Regions from separate parts of the Mus musculus genome. Here region 1 is reported to be linked to region 2. The links are microRNA targets in miRTarBase. Many come from high-throughput screens and were not tested one by one. Region 2 holds a microRNA gene; the other region holds the end of a gene's coding sequence.
Evidence for each region. The annotated mature microRNA mmu-miR-5123 reads UGUAGAUCCAUAUGCCAUGGUGUG and lies in region 2 at 5,158-5,181, opposite strand. An mRNA with a match to its seed (bases 2 to 7 or 8) in the 3' UTR can be bound and repressed. Matches are read on the target gene's strand: a 7mer-m8 pairs with bases 2 to 8, a 7mer-A1 pairs with bases 2 to 7 and ends in A, and an 8mer does both.

Region 1: miRTarBase lists Lcorl as a target of mmu-miR-5123. Seed matches in the 3' UTR shown: 7mer-A1 at 744-750.

The regions. Positions count from the first base shown.
Region 1 is chr5:45,726,968-45,734,080 of GRCm38, reverse strand. It overlaps Lcorl (ligand dependent nuclear receptor corepressor-like), which reads left to right. Exons shown (of 7, transcript NM_001163073.1): 7 at 1-3,749. The coding sequence ends at 625. Gm3414 (predicted gene 3414) reads left to right here and starts at 6,503. Exons shown (of 1, transcript NR_027993.1): 1 at 6,503-7,113.
Region 2 is chr4:40,844,944-40,851,943 of GRCm38, forward strand. It overlaps Mir5123 (microRNA 5123), which reads right to left and starts at 5,195; the gene lies at 5,113-5,195. The region is part of intron 1 of B4galt1 (UDP-Gal:betaGlcNAc beta 1,4- galactosyltransferase, polypeptide 1); the gene reads right to left.

The DNA of each region.
Region 1 (7,113 bases), not on the chromosome of region 2:
TAAAGAAAAAAATGAAAGCCTTCAATATGAAACTTCAAATCCTCCTGTACAGTTAAAAATTCCTCAGCTACGAGTAAATTCGGTTTCAAAATCACAAGCTGATGGTTCTGGTCTGCTGGATGTCATGTATCAAGTTTCCAAAACCTCTTCAGTCCTTGAAGGATCAGCTCTCCAAAAACTGAAAAATATACTCCCTAAACAGAACAAACTAGACTGTTCTGGGCCTGTAACTCACTCAAGTGTTGACTCTTACTTTCTACATGGGGACCTCTCTCCTTTGTGTCTTAATTCTAAAAATGGAACAGTTGATGGAACCTCTGAGAACACTGAAGATGGACTGGACCGGAAAGATAATAAGCAGCCCAGGAAAAAACGTGGCCGCTATCGACAGTATGATCATGAAATAATGGAAGAGGCCATTGCAATGGTAATGAGTGGGAAAATGAGTGTTTCCAAAGCACAAGGAATCTATGGGGTACCTCACAGCACTTTAGAATACAAGGTAAAGGAAAGATCTGGAACACTGAAGACTCCTCCGAAGAAGAAACTACGATTACCAGACACTGGGTTATATATGACAGATTCAGGGACTGGCAGCTGCAGAAACAGCAGCAAGCCTGTGTAGATTACTGTTAGAGAACATGTGCGAGACTGTGTGTGTGTGTGTGTGTGAGAGTGTGTGTGCGCGCGTGTGCGTGCAGGAATGTATGTGTACAGGGGTATGTGAGTCTTTGTGTGTGTGTATCTACATACACATGTGGAAATTACAAATGCTCACTCTGACAGGAGACATGAAATTTTACAGTTCAAAAACCACTTACATGCCTTTTGAAAAAGTTTTATTCAGGGTTTTCACTGTGGACAGAATTATAGAGTTGCTTATTAATTCTGATAGTTTGTATTTAATCCTTGTATAAATAGGTGAAAAAGATTCAGGTTTTCTTTAGTAGTCAATAGCATAAATGTGGGGAAACAAGTAACCGTCAAGTGAGACATTTTTTTATTGGTAAAAAGATTGTAGCCATTCAGTTGAACCATCTCATAATGGAAACATGATATTAATAGTTTGTGAACACTTTTATGTAACATACCTACAATGATTGTGAGTATGTCAAAGAACCAATCAAAGTTAAATAGTTACCTCTGTACCAAGAGTAACTAATAGATACAGTATTAATACACTACAGTGCATTCTTTGAAATACAGAATGCACTAAAGTGCATCCGCCAGGATAGAAGAGAAAACCTTAAAGGATATGTATAGTAAAATTTAATATTTATCATTTAATTGTTGAGTTAGCAGGAAGTTGGGGTTATTACGTATATAATTTAAATTTTAAAAAAGCTGACATAGTTAATTAACCCCAGAAGCTATAGAATCCTTTAATATAAGATGGAATACTAAAAGCAAAAAGTAATTTAAATTTAATTATTAAAGTAACTTAATTTTGTTTTTCATTTGAAAACTAAGCTAATGTGTAAGGTTAGGAAAGAAGTTGGAATGCCACTTAGAGCATGTTTATAATGTGCGCAGGACAAGCTTGAGAATGGTCATTGTGGTTAATGTGCTGGTTAGTTGACGTTATGACTACTTTAAGGATTGTGACACACTCCTACTGAAAAACCTCAGTGTAACTTTAATATATTTGCTGCTGTGACATTTCAAAACATTTTCAGTTTATCAAGATGAATTACAGATTTCATTTTGGTGGGTGATACATTATCATTTTGCTAATAACCAAACTTGCAGTTTGTTCAGGGTCTTGAATAGATTTACAGATATTTAACACTGACGCTGTTTTGAATTTTCAGTAATGTAAACTCTTTACTACTTGGATATTTAGAAGCTGGGCAGTGCATTTTAACTTTTACTAGACTCATATGAAACCAGTGATTTTTATAAAACAGTTTTAAAAATATGGGTCAGAGTATTCATGTGGGTTTATGAAGTATGCAGTTTTGGTAGTAGAAATGTAATAAAGCATGTACCTCCGTGTAAAGACAGGAGATCTGCTTTATAGATGAGACTCCTCCTCTATGCCCTTTTCTCTGTTAGAATTCAGGTTCTGGTCATGTTCCTAAGCCACTTTTTATAAATCCAAAAGGAATTCTTACAGCTGAATTTAAATATAAGTGCACCTTGTCAAATACTTGTGTTGCTACACTTGTGTTTGTGTGTATTTAGTAATCACATGAACTTGTGATTGTTCAGCTACTAAACTTTAAAACTGCTTGCATGTATTTAAAGAAACTGAAGAATGAGAAAATATATGACCAGGTAATCGCTTGGTCTCTCAGATCTGTACTGAACATTTTCAGCTGTTAACATTACCTGCATACTGGGGTATGAATCCTCTTTATCTTTTTCTTCCCCCAAGAAAATATACTTAATAGATTACAAGACAGCATTTGTCAGGGTCATCTTTCTTTTTAAAGAATTAAGCCATATTTTGTGAGGACCGGAACATGGATTATTTATTATATTTCCCCCTCCTCCCATTGAAAAACAAAGTTAAAAAGTAAATGCTTCAAAAAACAATTTTCTTGACCTCTTTATACAGAATTTTACTTGCAAAACTTTGGGAGCTCGAATGCATTACATAATATTTATATTGTATTGAGCTTTTTTATTCCTCACACTATATTTACATTGATAAATTGATTGAGAAGTTTATAGTAAAGGGAAACTTACAGAACACTTTTCTATCATTTAAAAGATGACCTGACCAAAAACTTTACAGCATTCATAAATCAGGGATCATTTTGCTATTGACTTCACAGTGACCAGTAGTTTTATAGGTAATATTAAAGTTAATTTGCAGCATTTTAGTACTTATTATTTATTTTTGGTCAAATAGTAAATTAAAATATTTTTTGATAGTTTATAGGTAATGATCCACCCATAACTTTTAAAAGAAACATAACGTTTGTATTACTGAGTTGACTTTTTAATTATACAAACTAGGAAAGGCAGGGAAGTTTATGGGTTCCCCTCTCCCCACTGGTTCTATTAAAACGTGCTTTATGTTAAACTTTCAAAATCCTTTAAAAATTTAATTACCAGTTACTACTTAATTGACAGTTTCTGAAAAATCCAATTTCAGCTGACTTTTAATGAATATGAAAGCAACCCTTATGCGCTTTCTACTTATTTGAATGTTCCTCAAGTATTTTATATTTAAAATAAAAAAAGAAGGAAAAGAAAAAAACAGTGCCTCTGTTTTTAGAAAACTACTGCTCAGTAAAGTTGTTTAAACCATTTCTGATAGCTGATGACAATTTTATATTAAACTGTATACTGACTTTAGTGAAACTGATTTCTTTTTTAGTTGTTTACAGTGCAGATACTTGTGGGTTTTTTTTTTAATTGCAGTATTTCCATTGTCGCAGTAATTTAGTAAAACTCTGTGGCTGCCTTGATTTTGACAGATTTTGTTAATATAAACTGATTGTTAGGCAATTAGTTATATTTATGCATAAATCAATTGCACTATAATTCATGAATTATTTATTACAATATTTTCTAATGAATTCATGTATCTGTCTTGTGTTGTACATGTACTGTAATTTTGTTCCTACTTTGTGTTGTTATATATCTAAATCTGATTGTATGAATTTTAATTGTTCAGTTAACGTGTTTCTAGGTTGTAATTTGTAGTAAAGCACTTCAATGCTTTTGCACTTAAATTTACAACACTGTCGGTGTGTGGTTAATTTACTCATTCAGTAAAGGAAAAGAAAAGTAAACTTGACTATACTGAGTTCTTTGAGTCCTTATGAGGAGGGTTTTTTTGTTTTGTTTTTTTGGTTTTGGTTTTGGTTTGTTTGGTTTAGTTTTAAATAGTGTTAGAATTTGACTTTTCCCAAGAAACATTCCACAACAAATTTCTAAGAAAAAGGCAGAATAGAAACAAAAATGAGATGTTTGGGATTATAAACAAACAGGAAGAATTAGAAAGAATTGATCTAAGAAGAGACATTACAGCCAGGTAGACTAAGGTGGCCTTTAATTAACCTCAGCATTTACGAGGTAGAGGCAGGTGGGTCTCTGTGAGTTCTATCTAGGCCAGCTTAGTCTACATGGGGAATTCCAGGCCACCCAAAGCTACATTGTGAGACTGTCTCAAAATTATAGTTTTAGCATCTTTATATAATTACTAGAGAATAAATTGTGAATTGGAGACTCACACATGTTTCTGTTCACTCACTATGATTCCCTTTGAGACTATGATGGAAAAATGAGGGAGAAAAATTTTTTATATTTTGTAACTAATTTAGTATAAGGTCAACTCTTATACCTGAAAATCTGATATATTAATCTATTGTTCATATTATCAGCAACCACTAGTATTTTTAAATTTCCAGTATTAAAACTAGCAAACTGAATAAGGAAAGTCTTCCTTTTAAACAATGGTGTCCTTAGAATGTCAGAAAAGGTAGATAGAAGTCAGTGACATTCATAATTTTATAAGATTAATCAAAGTGAAATAACATGTTTATATTACTAAACAAGTGCTGCTTTTTATCATTTTGACGGGGCTTGCTCATTTTTATATTGAGACTTGCACCCTGGGCTTTGGCCATGATAATAAGCATACTCTCCCAGCTGTGCAAATCATTTCATTAGCGGGAAAAGGCCTTGGAGCGTCTTAGAAACTGCTAAAACAGATTACTAATCTTTGAAATATAGTATAACATTGTAACAACTCGTAAGCTCTCCCCTTTATTACTAGTTATAAATATGCTGAACCTTACTTCAGAGACTGTCTGAACTATACTCCTCAGGGGATGTTTGCTTTGCTCTTGGTTATCGAAAGTCATAAACTTGAGTCGCTGGAAAATGATATAATTAATATTTGGTAGCTATCATTTGATGTTACCTTTGCTTTACATTTTTGAAATAACTTTTGACATTGAATCTTGAGTTCCTTACATCATTTTACACTCTACCATTACAAAATTAATTTTAAAAAATATTTACTGAAGAATACTAGACTTACACCTTTTGTCTAGTGACAGCACTGAACTTAGAGTTTTGTTTACTTTGGTTTATTTTTGCTTTGTGTGATTCTTTTTGTCAAATTGTGTGTTAGTCTTACTAAAACATTTGTTAAATCTGATAGTTACTTTTCTCCGTGATGTTTTGATCACATACTCAGAACTTGTTTTGGTATTTTTATTACTCAGACCGCATAATTTTGTACAACTCAATAAATTATTGTATCTGTAGATTCCAATGTCAGGGAACAATTATAAAAGTACTGATTTCACTGCTTATTTTAAAAGAAAATCCTTTAAATTTTAATACCATGAACATACTAACCCTTATTTTTAAAAAGTACATTCTTCTCTTGGATCAGTTTTGTAAGTAATATATCCCAATTCTTACCCTAAATAACATTTTTGCCAACTAGGAGCAAATGACAGGCACATGGAATTAGGTGAGGAAGGCTATTCCCACTACAGAGTTTGGTGATGTTTTATTAAAATGGATACTTTTCTGAAACAGAATTCCTTTAATATATTTTATTCTTCTTGCTACTGGTATTGAATTTAAAAATATGAGCTTCTATATTGTTGACTAGCAAACATGGGTCTTAGTTAAAGCTAGATGTGTATTAGCTTCTGTGGTGGGGCATTTTTCAGCACTTGAAATTTAGTATTTAGGTAAGTAATACCTTTAGTTTTCCTGTGCTTTTCCAAGGCTTTTAAAACCAGCTAAAAGTAGGTTTAATTTTTCAAAAGCTTCCTTTTATCTTTTATATTCTTACTAGGTTAAAATGCCTTCAGCTTAATCTCAGAAAAACATACTCTCTTATTTATATGGAACCTAAATTTGATAAGTTTCTTCATGATTATGTAAACTTTTCTTTTAATATTAAATTTTCTTTTACTACCTAGCAAAGGATTTTAAATAAAAATAAGATTTCACTCCTTATCTCCTTATTTGAATTAACAAGGACTGATCATATAAAATATGGCTAAGTGTCCTACTTTACAAAAACTTTTATTTCTTCTGAAGCATTTTTCATTAAAGGTTATTAATAGTATTTCCAGAGTTGTTAATATTGCCAGCGTGTTGATGTAATAATATGTGATCATCTGCTTTTGTATTGTGAAAGCCTTTGCTTTGACTCCTGTGCTTTGTCATAGGAAATTATTTACCAGTGCTTCATTCTGTTTCTGCTAAAAAAATAACCAAGATGTCCTTGCAGTTCCATCTATAGGAGTCAGGAGTCCAGCAATATCAAAATACATCATTCAGATGCTGTCAAGAATTATAACTCCTTATGATATTTTTTGCTGTAATTCATTTTTTTGTTTGATTTTTATTTTTAGTTCAACTGTTGATGCAAAATCAGAGGAAGCTACTAAAATGGAAAAAGGAAAATCAGCATTAAGCAAAGTTTTGGAATCTTTGTGCATACATCACCATCAACAAGTTTTGGCTATGTTGAAATTTCTAGTCCAAGAGCAGAATGCTGCTTCTCTTTGCTGTTGTAATTCATCATGTGCTATGTCTTCAGAATCTCAAAAGCCCCTATTGGAGGATGGTTTTCATGGTCTGTTCTGTAGCTGTGAATATAGACTGGCAGAAAGAGGGTGTTTACAGAATGAGAGACAAAGCCCTGGTCTAGTGCCTCTGCCAGTCTGTATTAAAGAAATACAGTGTTTGTCTTGTCAAACTGTAACTGTTGAACACATTAAGACAGTAATGAATCGAGGAATTGAAAACAGTTCTAATCCACACAGGTGCTGTTGTGGACAATTAGCAAAGACTCAGTCTACAAAACCAGCCTGTCACAGTCCTCCTTTGTCACGGGAAGTTTGTGATCTTTCAGTCACTCTTCAAAATACCTGTAGATCTCGAAGTCCCTCGCCCCCACCATTATCACCTGTGGAGACTGGAGGATTGGAAAAATGGAAAGACATCGTCTCAGAGCTTTCAGCTGTAGAAAATAACAAACTTGAGGCAAGCATTAACCAGCCTCCATCTCTTACACCTGCAGAGATAAGCACTCACAAATGTGGCCATGACAGCAAACTACATAAAACTAAGAAGTCTGGTAACACTGATTCTGTGCTCTTGGGGACCAGTGGTAGTTATACTGCA
Region 2 (7,000 bases):
TCCAGGCCATGTCGCCATGCTTGTCTAACACAAATGTCAGCTTCTTTGAGTCTCCCTTAGAAGTCTAGTCTTTCTTTTTTTCCACACAAAAAAGTCTGTCTTGCTTGTTCTGTCACACCAACAGCAGCTCTGTGGTTTCAGGATGTCAAAGGCAAGAGGACATTATGCAAAACAGGAAGGAACTTTTAAAGAAAATGTTACAGACGTTTTTTAGAATGAACTCTGTCATTGGGCCAAGCATTCACTGAAGCCCCAGCCAGGCCCCTCCAGGCACATATGGAAAGGCAGGAAGGAGCCTGACCCTGACATTGCATGAGTCAAGCTGGTCCAGCAGAATCCTGTCCCTTCCCTTTAATGCAACCTTGCTCTAACTTCCAAGACTCGGCGCCAAATGACCCCAGCAGATTCTCCACACCCAACATTCCCTCAGACGAGAATCTAGCTCTGCTGATGACATTCAAAATGGAGTAACTTCAAAATACACTCCTTGGGAACAGCCAGGCAACAAGCAGCCAGAGGCCTTATTGACATAATCCCCCAAGTCCGCATAGAAAGCCAGCCTCTGTTGCTCTCCTGGGCTTTTCCCTTAAGAGAATTCCCGGAAACGTAAGATTCTCACTCCAGAGCCCCTCCCTGGAACTCAGGAACTTGTGGTAGTAGAGAAAGAATGTCACGTGTTTCAGAATCTGATTTGCTGGCTCGTTTCCCACAGAGGTCTGTGTCACATCTCGATGATGTCAGTAGCACTGGGTTAGCCCACTGGTGAGTACCCAGCACTCAGCTCTGGAGCCATATTAGGCTATATAAACCTATCCAGCGATTCGACAGCTAAGGAAACAACTAGAGAAAGTTGACTGAGGAAGCACCATCTCCACGGGGTTTTATTTACAGCAGATCCCTCCTCAGACAGATCTAAAGGTCTGCTTGGGGCTGTACTCTGGCCCCACCCAGGCGCTTCTTCAACCTATTCTCCTTTTGATTAGAATTCTAGACGTATCATTCTACATAAGTGATATTCATTTGACAGCACCATGCAAACCTGTAATTTCCCAATGCACTTAACCCTTTGTACGAAGGCTTGACACCTAATGCTTCTCAAAAAGAATTCACTCTTTTCTTTTTCTCTTTTGGAAAATGTTCTACAGATACCACACACACACACACACACACACACACACACACACACGTACAACTCTATGCCCAAGGCTCATTACACCACCAGGAAAACAAAAACCACATCTATGTGTCTAACAGTCGAGTGATAAGAAAGTTATGGCATTTGCTGTTGACCAAGAGGATACCGCTCTTGAGATTTATTGGTTAGTTTTATTTATTAATTTTCTCAAAGTGTTGGGGCCTCACACCTACTAGCAATCACCCTTCCACTGAATGATAGCCCTATCTCACCTCTGTGGTTTTCTTTTTTTAAAGATGCAGGACCCAGATTGTAAGAGAACCTTAAATGAAAAAGGATAATCACCAGGCTACTGCATGAACTCAGATCAGTCCATTCCTCTGGTTAAGACATCAGCCATGCTGGGTGTCTTAGTTAGGATTCCTATAGCTTGATAAAGGCCATGACCAAAAGCAACCTGGGGAAGAAAGGGCTAATTTCATCTTAGAAGTGAAGCAGAAGCCATGGAGAGAGGCTGCCTACTGGCTTGTTCCTCCTTCATGGCTTGCTTGGCAGCTTTCTTATAGCACCCAGGACAACCTGTCCAGGGGGTGGTACCACACACACCCACAATGGACTGGGCCCTCCCACACATATCAATCATCAAGAAAATGCATCGCAAGCTTACTCACCGGCTAATCTAGTGGGAGCATTTTCTTACATGCAGTTTCCTCTTCCCGATGACTCAAGTATGTGTCAAATGACATAAAAACTAGCCAGTACACGGAGTACGGAGAGGCAGGAGCTAAAAGCCTAGGCTACCTTGCAAGACACTGCCAGATAAAATAAAATAAAACAACCCAGGAACAAGTTATCAGCTGTATTCTTTTCTTAAACATACAAGAAGGGAAGACGAGTAGAAAACGGGAGGGCAGGCTTATCTTAGGTGAAAAGAATGTGGCTTTCATTTGCATGTTTTCAGAGTTGAAGATCACCAAACCTAGGACTTACCTACAAGTGTTCTACACTGAGTTATACCCTCCCATTCCATATTACTTTCCACAAAAATTAAGATTACTAACACCCTCACAAAGAAAAAGGCAAATACAAAACCCATAGCCTTTGTCCTAATACCTAAGAGGCAAATCATTACAGTTACGCAATAGACCCAGAACGTACTTAAAATCACTGCCACAGAATTCAACAACACCCAATAAAAGATACAGCCCCTGGCCCTCATTTGTATAAGGAAGCCAAGCTGAAACAGAACCTGAACCTTAGCACGTGACTCACCCCTCTCTGTCTTCTAGTGACCGATCCCTTTAGGTCACATTCACCCAGAACTACCTCAGGCCAAACCACTACAGGCCTCTAACCTAGAGAGCTTTCCAAACAGGCTTTAGAGAGCTCTCTCCTGGGGCAAAGGCTCCCTCACCTCACCCTGCACAGTCCCAGACACACAAGGGGTCACAACCAAGGTCTTTTCAGCCACAGCTACAGTCAGCTTTCAGGAGACTTTGCCCTGTTTAGAAACAGGAAGGCTAGCTCTATGAAGATCATGAAGTTCAAACCGAGCAACGTTGCAGGGACTGGCCACTGGCTCAGGGAACACATCATGTATGGCAGGATCAAATGTAAACTCATCACACTGCCAAAGTCTCAAAGGGTTAGGACCAAAAGGGAAGTCTGTTTGTCTTAAGACCAGTCCAGAGCTGAGGAGATGGTCCAGTGGGTGAAGTTCTTGCTGTGAAATCATGAGACCCTGAATTTGAATCCCCATGTAAAAGCCAGACCATAGTATGTCTATATTCCCAGTGCTCTTAATAGGGAGATAGGGAGGTGAAGACAGGAGAATTCTGAACAGCTCATGGGGCAGGTTCCGCTGGTGTATGCAGCAGCAGACAAGAAATTCTGATTCAAACAAGGTGGAAGGCAAGGACTACTAATGCCTGAAATTGTCCAGTGACCTCCATAAGACGACCATGGCCAACATGCCTACAGACATACACACACACTGATTTTTTTTTCTTATAAAAAACTTACCACGCCACTGCATCATAAACCATGCAAATTTCAAATGGACATTAACTCAAGCAGATTTCCAGTCTCCTTTGGCAGGAACAAACAGGGGACAAAGAACAGAGGCCATAAATAACTGAGACATGAAGGAATCACCAGGTTTGACCAAAAATAATAGCTAGGTTGCTTTCACAGGGACCCTTAGCCCACTGAGCCCAAGGTGATCCAGTGTCTGAACGGTCCCAGGGCAGAATCTATGGGAGGGCTCCGAGCGACTTGGCATCAACTGCCCCATCATCCTCAACCCCTAAATTAGCCTGGAAATCCCTACCCTGCTGCCACTCAAAGACCATAATACCCAGGCAGATGGCGGGCGATATCTCATTATAATCATTATAGCGCAGCAAGTTAAGATTACCCAGCACAGCTAATGTATGGCTTCGGAAAGAAAAGGAAAATTTTCACACAATCAAATAAAACCAGGACGGAAGAACTGTGACATCAAGCCTGAGTTTCTTTCTGAATGAAAGGAAGGTAGGATATAATATTAGAGAAAGGAACATGGGATCTCTTGAGTGTGTGCAGCACACACACACACACACACACACACACACACACACACACGTGGGGTGTTCAGAGACATTAGCACAATAATTAAGTCTCTCTTGCTTAAACTGAAAATTGCTACAAGGAAGACATTTTGTTTTCTTTATAGTTCTAGCTCCACACAGCACACACTGTAAATGAATGATGTTACCGCAGTCGTCCAGACATCCGTATAAGACCTATCAGAGGAAGGGATACGAAAGCATAACTTAGAAGGATCTTCTTTCCAATCTCTAGAATATATCATGACAATTCCTGGTCCTCTGAACTAGTCTCTTTGGACATTAACCTGAGGCAAAAATACCAGACTCCTCTTCAGGGATGCTAAGCCAAGAAACTAGAGTTTAAAGCCAATCCCACATTTGGCTCTTATTTTCCATGTCCCAAGGACTGTCTACCTGTTCTTCTGCCACAGGGGGTTCCCACACTTGTTCAGAACCTGGGATATTTCTCCCTGGTGCTGGATTAAGCCCAAGGCCTTGTATATGCAACCACTTAGTCACACCCCTAAAAAGTGTAGAATAAATAACTGTCAGGGATCACTCTTATCCTGCCATAATGCTATTTGGAAGAAATTAACAGGTTTCACCATGAAAAAGACCCAGACTGTCATGGAGGGTATTTCTCAATGACCTTGGCAAACAGGTTTCCGTATTACGGCCACCTGACTGACTGAGTTGGGAAGAGCTGAGACCTTGTAATGGTTTTACTGGAATGTACATCTCTGCTCCGGGTAGGAAAGGGTATGTCCAATATGACTGTAAGATAAAAGACAGTAGGATCTGTGTGTAATCAATAAATTATTGCCTCCAGAGAAAAGCAGCAAGACAAACTGGCTTGTTACCCAAAGTCAAAGCTGCAAGATCTGCGTCCAAGAGAGGATCTCTGTGCCTCCTCTAAAACCCAGGATGAGATTCCACCCTAAAGCAGAGGGTGCTAGAGTCCCAAGAGCCATCTCAGAATGGGTAGGTCCAGGACAGCCCTCTTCCGAGCCTCACAGTACAGACTGTTCTAATCAGCCTGCCTGTGTCTGCACATGCACAAATGGGTGAAGGTGGCAGCATGATAAAGAGGAATGCCTGAGAGCCAAGAGCCCAGCAGAGACGTAGTAAGTATTTCATCTTCACCATCACATTCCATGGCAGAGGCTCAGCTAAAAGTAGCCCCCAAAAGCCAGGGAGTTGGGCTCATGAACAGGGCTCTACTCTAACTGGGCTGTTTGCTTCTAGATAAGAATCCTGGGCCAGCAAGATGGCTCAGCAGGTAAAAGGTGCTTGCCACCAAGCCTGACAGTGTGAGTCCTGTCCCTGAAACCTCTGAGCTCCACATTCACACCATGGCATATGGGTCTACACACCATGGCATATGGGTCTACACACCATGGCATATGGATCTACACACCATGGCATATGGGTCTACACACCATGGCATATGGATCTACACACCATGGCATATGGGTCTACACACCATGGCATATGAGTCTACACACCATGGCATATGGGTCTACACACCATGGCATATGGGTCTACACACCGTGGCATATGGGTCTACACACCGTGGCATGTGGGTCTACACACCGTGGCATGTGGGTCTACACACCGTGGCATGTGGGTCTACACACCGTGGCATGTGGGTCTACACACCGTGGCATATGGGTCTACACACCATGGCATATGGGTCTACACACCATGGCATGTGGGTCTACACACCATGGCATATGGGTCTACACACACACACACACACACACATCTTCCCTTTGAACAAATGAAGGGTATCTCCTTAAAGCACAGTTGGTCAAAAGGGGCCTCTGAGGTTTAAGTTGTCCAGTGTCCACTGCCCCCTTGAAAGATCTGTACCATCTGTCCCAGACCCCCGGCTGAATCAGCCAGTCCTGCTTCCCCAAATCAATCCAGCCTGACGTGCTGTCCCCCTTTCCACTAACACCACACCCAAAATGCCTGTGCCACAGCCAGTCAAATTTTGTCAAGCTGTGCCAAATATGAGCAGATAAAACCTTCTGGAAAAAGATAAACATTCCGGGAAAGAACCACAAGGCCATGCCTCCTCTCAGCCCGGGCAAACATTCAGAGGGCCAGAAAGGCCGGCTCACTGCTACAGCCAGTAGAGTACACAGTGACAGTTACCTGGAGGCCTGTCACAGGGCTAAAGAAAATGCCTGAAGTAACTAGAGTTCTCTGGGCAAATAGAAGACTTATCAGGCACGGCCAGCTAACCCCTGTAGCCCACAGTGGAGTAAGGAAGGATGGGACAGACAGACAGACAGAGGCTCACACTAGCCCTACAGATGAGAGGAGTGCCCACCATCACTAGGACTGCAAACAATACAGTTTGCCCCGGTTACACATATATTGCCTAAGCACAATTCCAACCTCAGTCTATCTAAAGTCCATTCAAATATTCTGACAAACCCAAAAGCAGATCTAACAGCAACCTATCAGCAGCCGGGTCTGGTCCCTTACCACCTCAAAGTCACCAGCTATCAACTGAAAAAGATCCAAGCATCTGGCTTAGACTGCTGGACACCAGAAAGCAGAGGAAAGTTGGGGAAAGGAACTGTGAGTAGTAAAAAGGCCACCGTGCTAACCCCCTAGGGGTGCTTTCTCCCACCAACCTCAAAACCACGGTCAAGGGCTTTGGCTGACACCTGCCCAGTGGAACAGATGGGCTTGACACTACACACACACACACACACACACACACACACACACACACACACAGAGTCCCAAATACACTTAAAAGTTTTCTTAAGATTCCTTCTGACCAAGAACCGCCCCCCAAAAGCTGCACCTAAGCATTCAAATCTAAGGGCTCAAATTAATAAAAACAAAACAAAACCTAACCTCCTACCCTTGTTTCTGCGATTGTGGTCTCAGCAGAAACCTAGACATCAGTCCCATGCAAGTCACATGAAGGTAGCCAGGCCAGAAGAGGCCTAGGCCTCTGGACTCCACAGTCTAAAGTGATCTCTCTCAGTAAGGTCCTTTTGAGCTGTCTATTTCAGGATGAATTGAGCAACCCACATTACCAAACCAAACTGAACAGAACTATAGTTACCACAGTCCCTCATATTTCAGCAGGAAGAACCTATACTCTGAACAACTATAAACCTGGTTTTCTCTTTGAGATAGGATCTGATGTTTGCTCAGTTTTATAATCAAGGCTTTGGGCAGGCCAGACAAGCCTTCCACCATCTGAGCTATGTCCATGGCTCTGGGGTACTTAACTAATTAATTTGTCTTT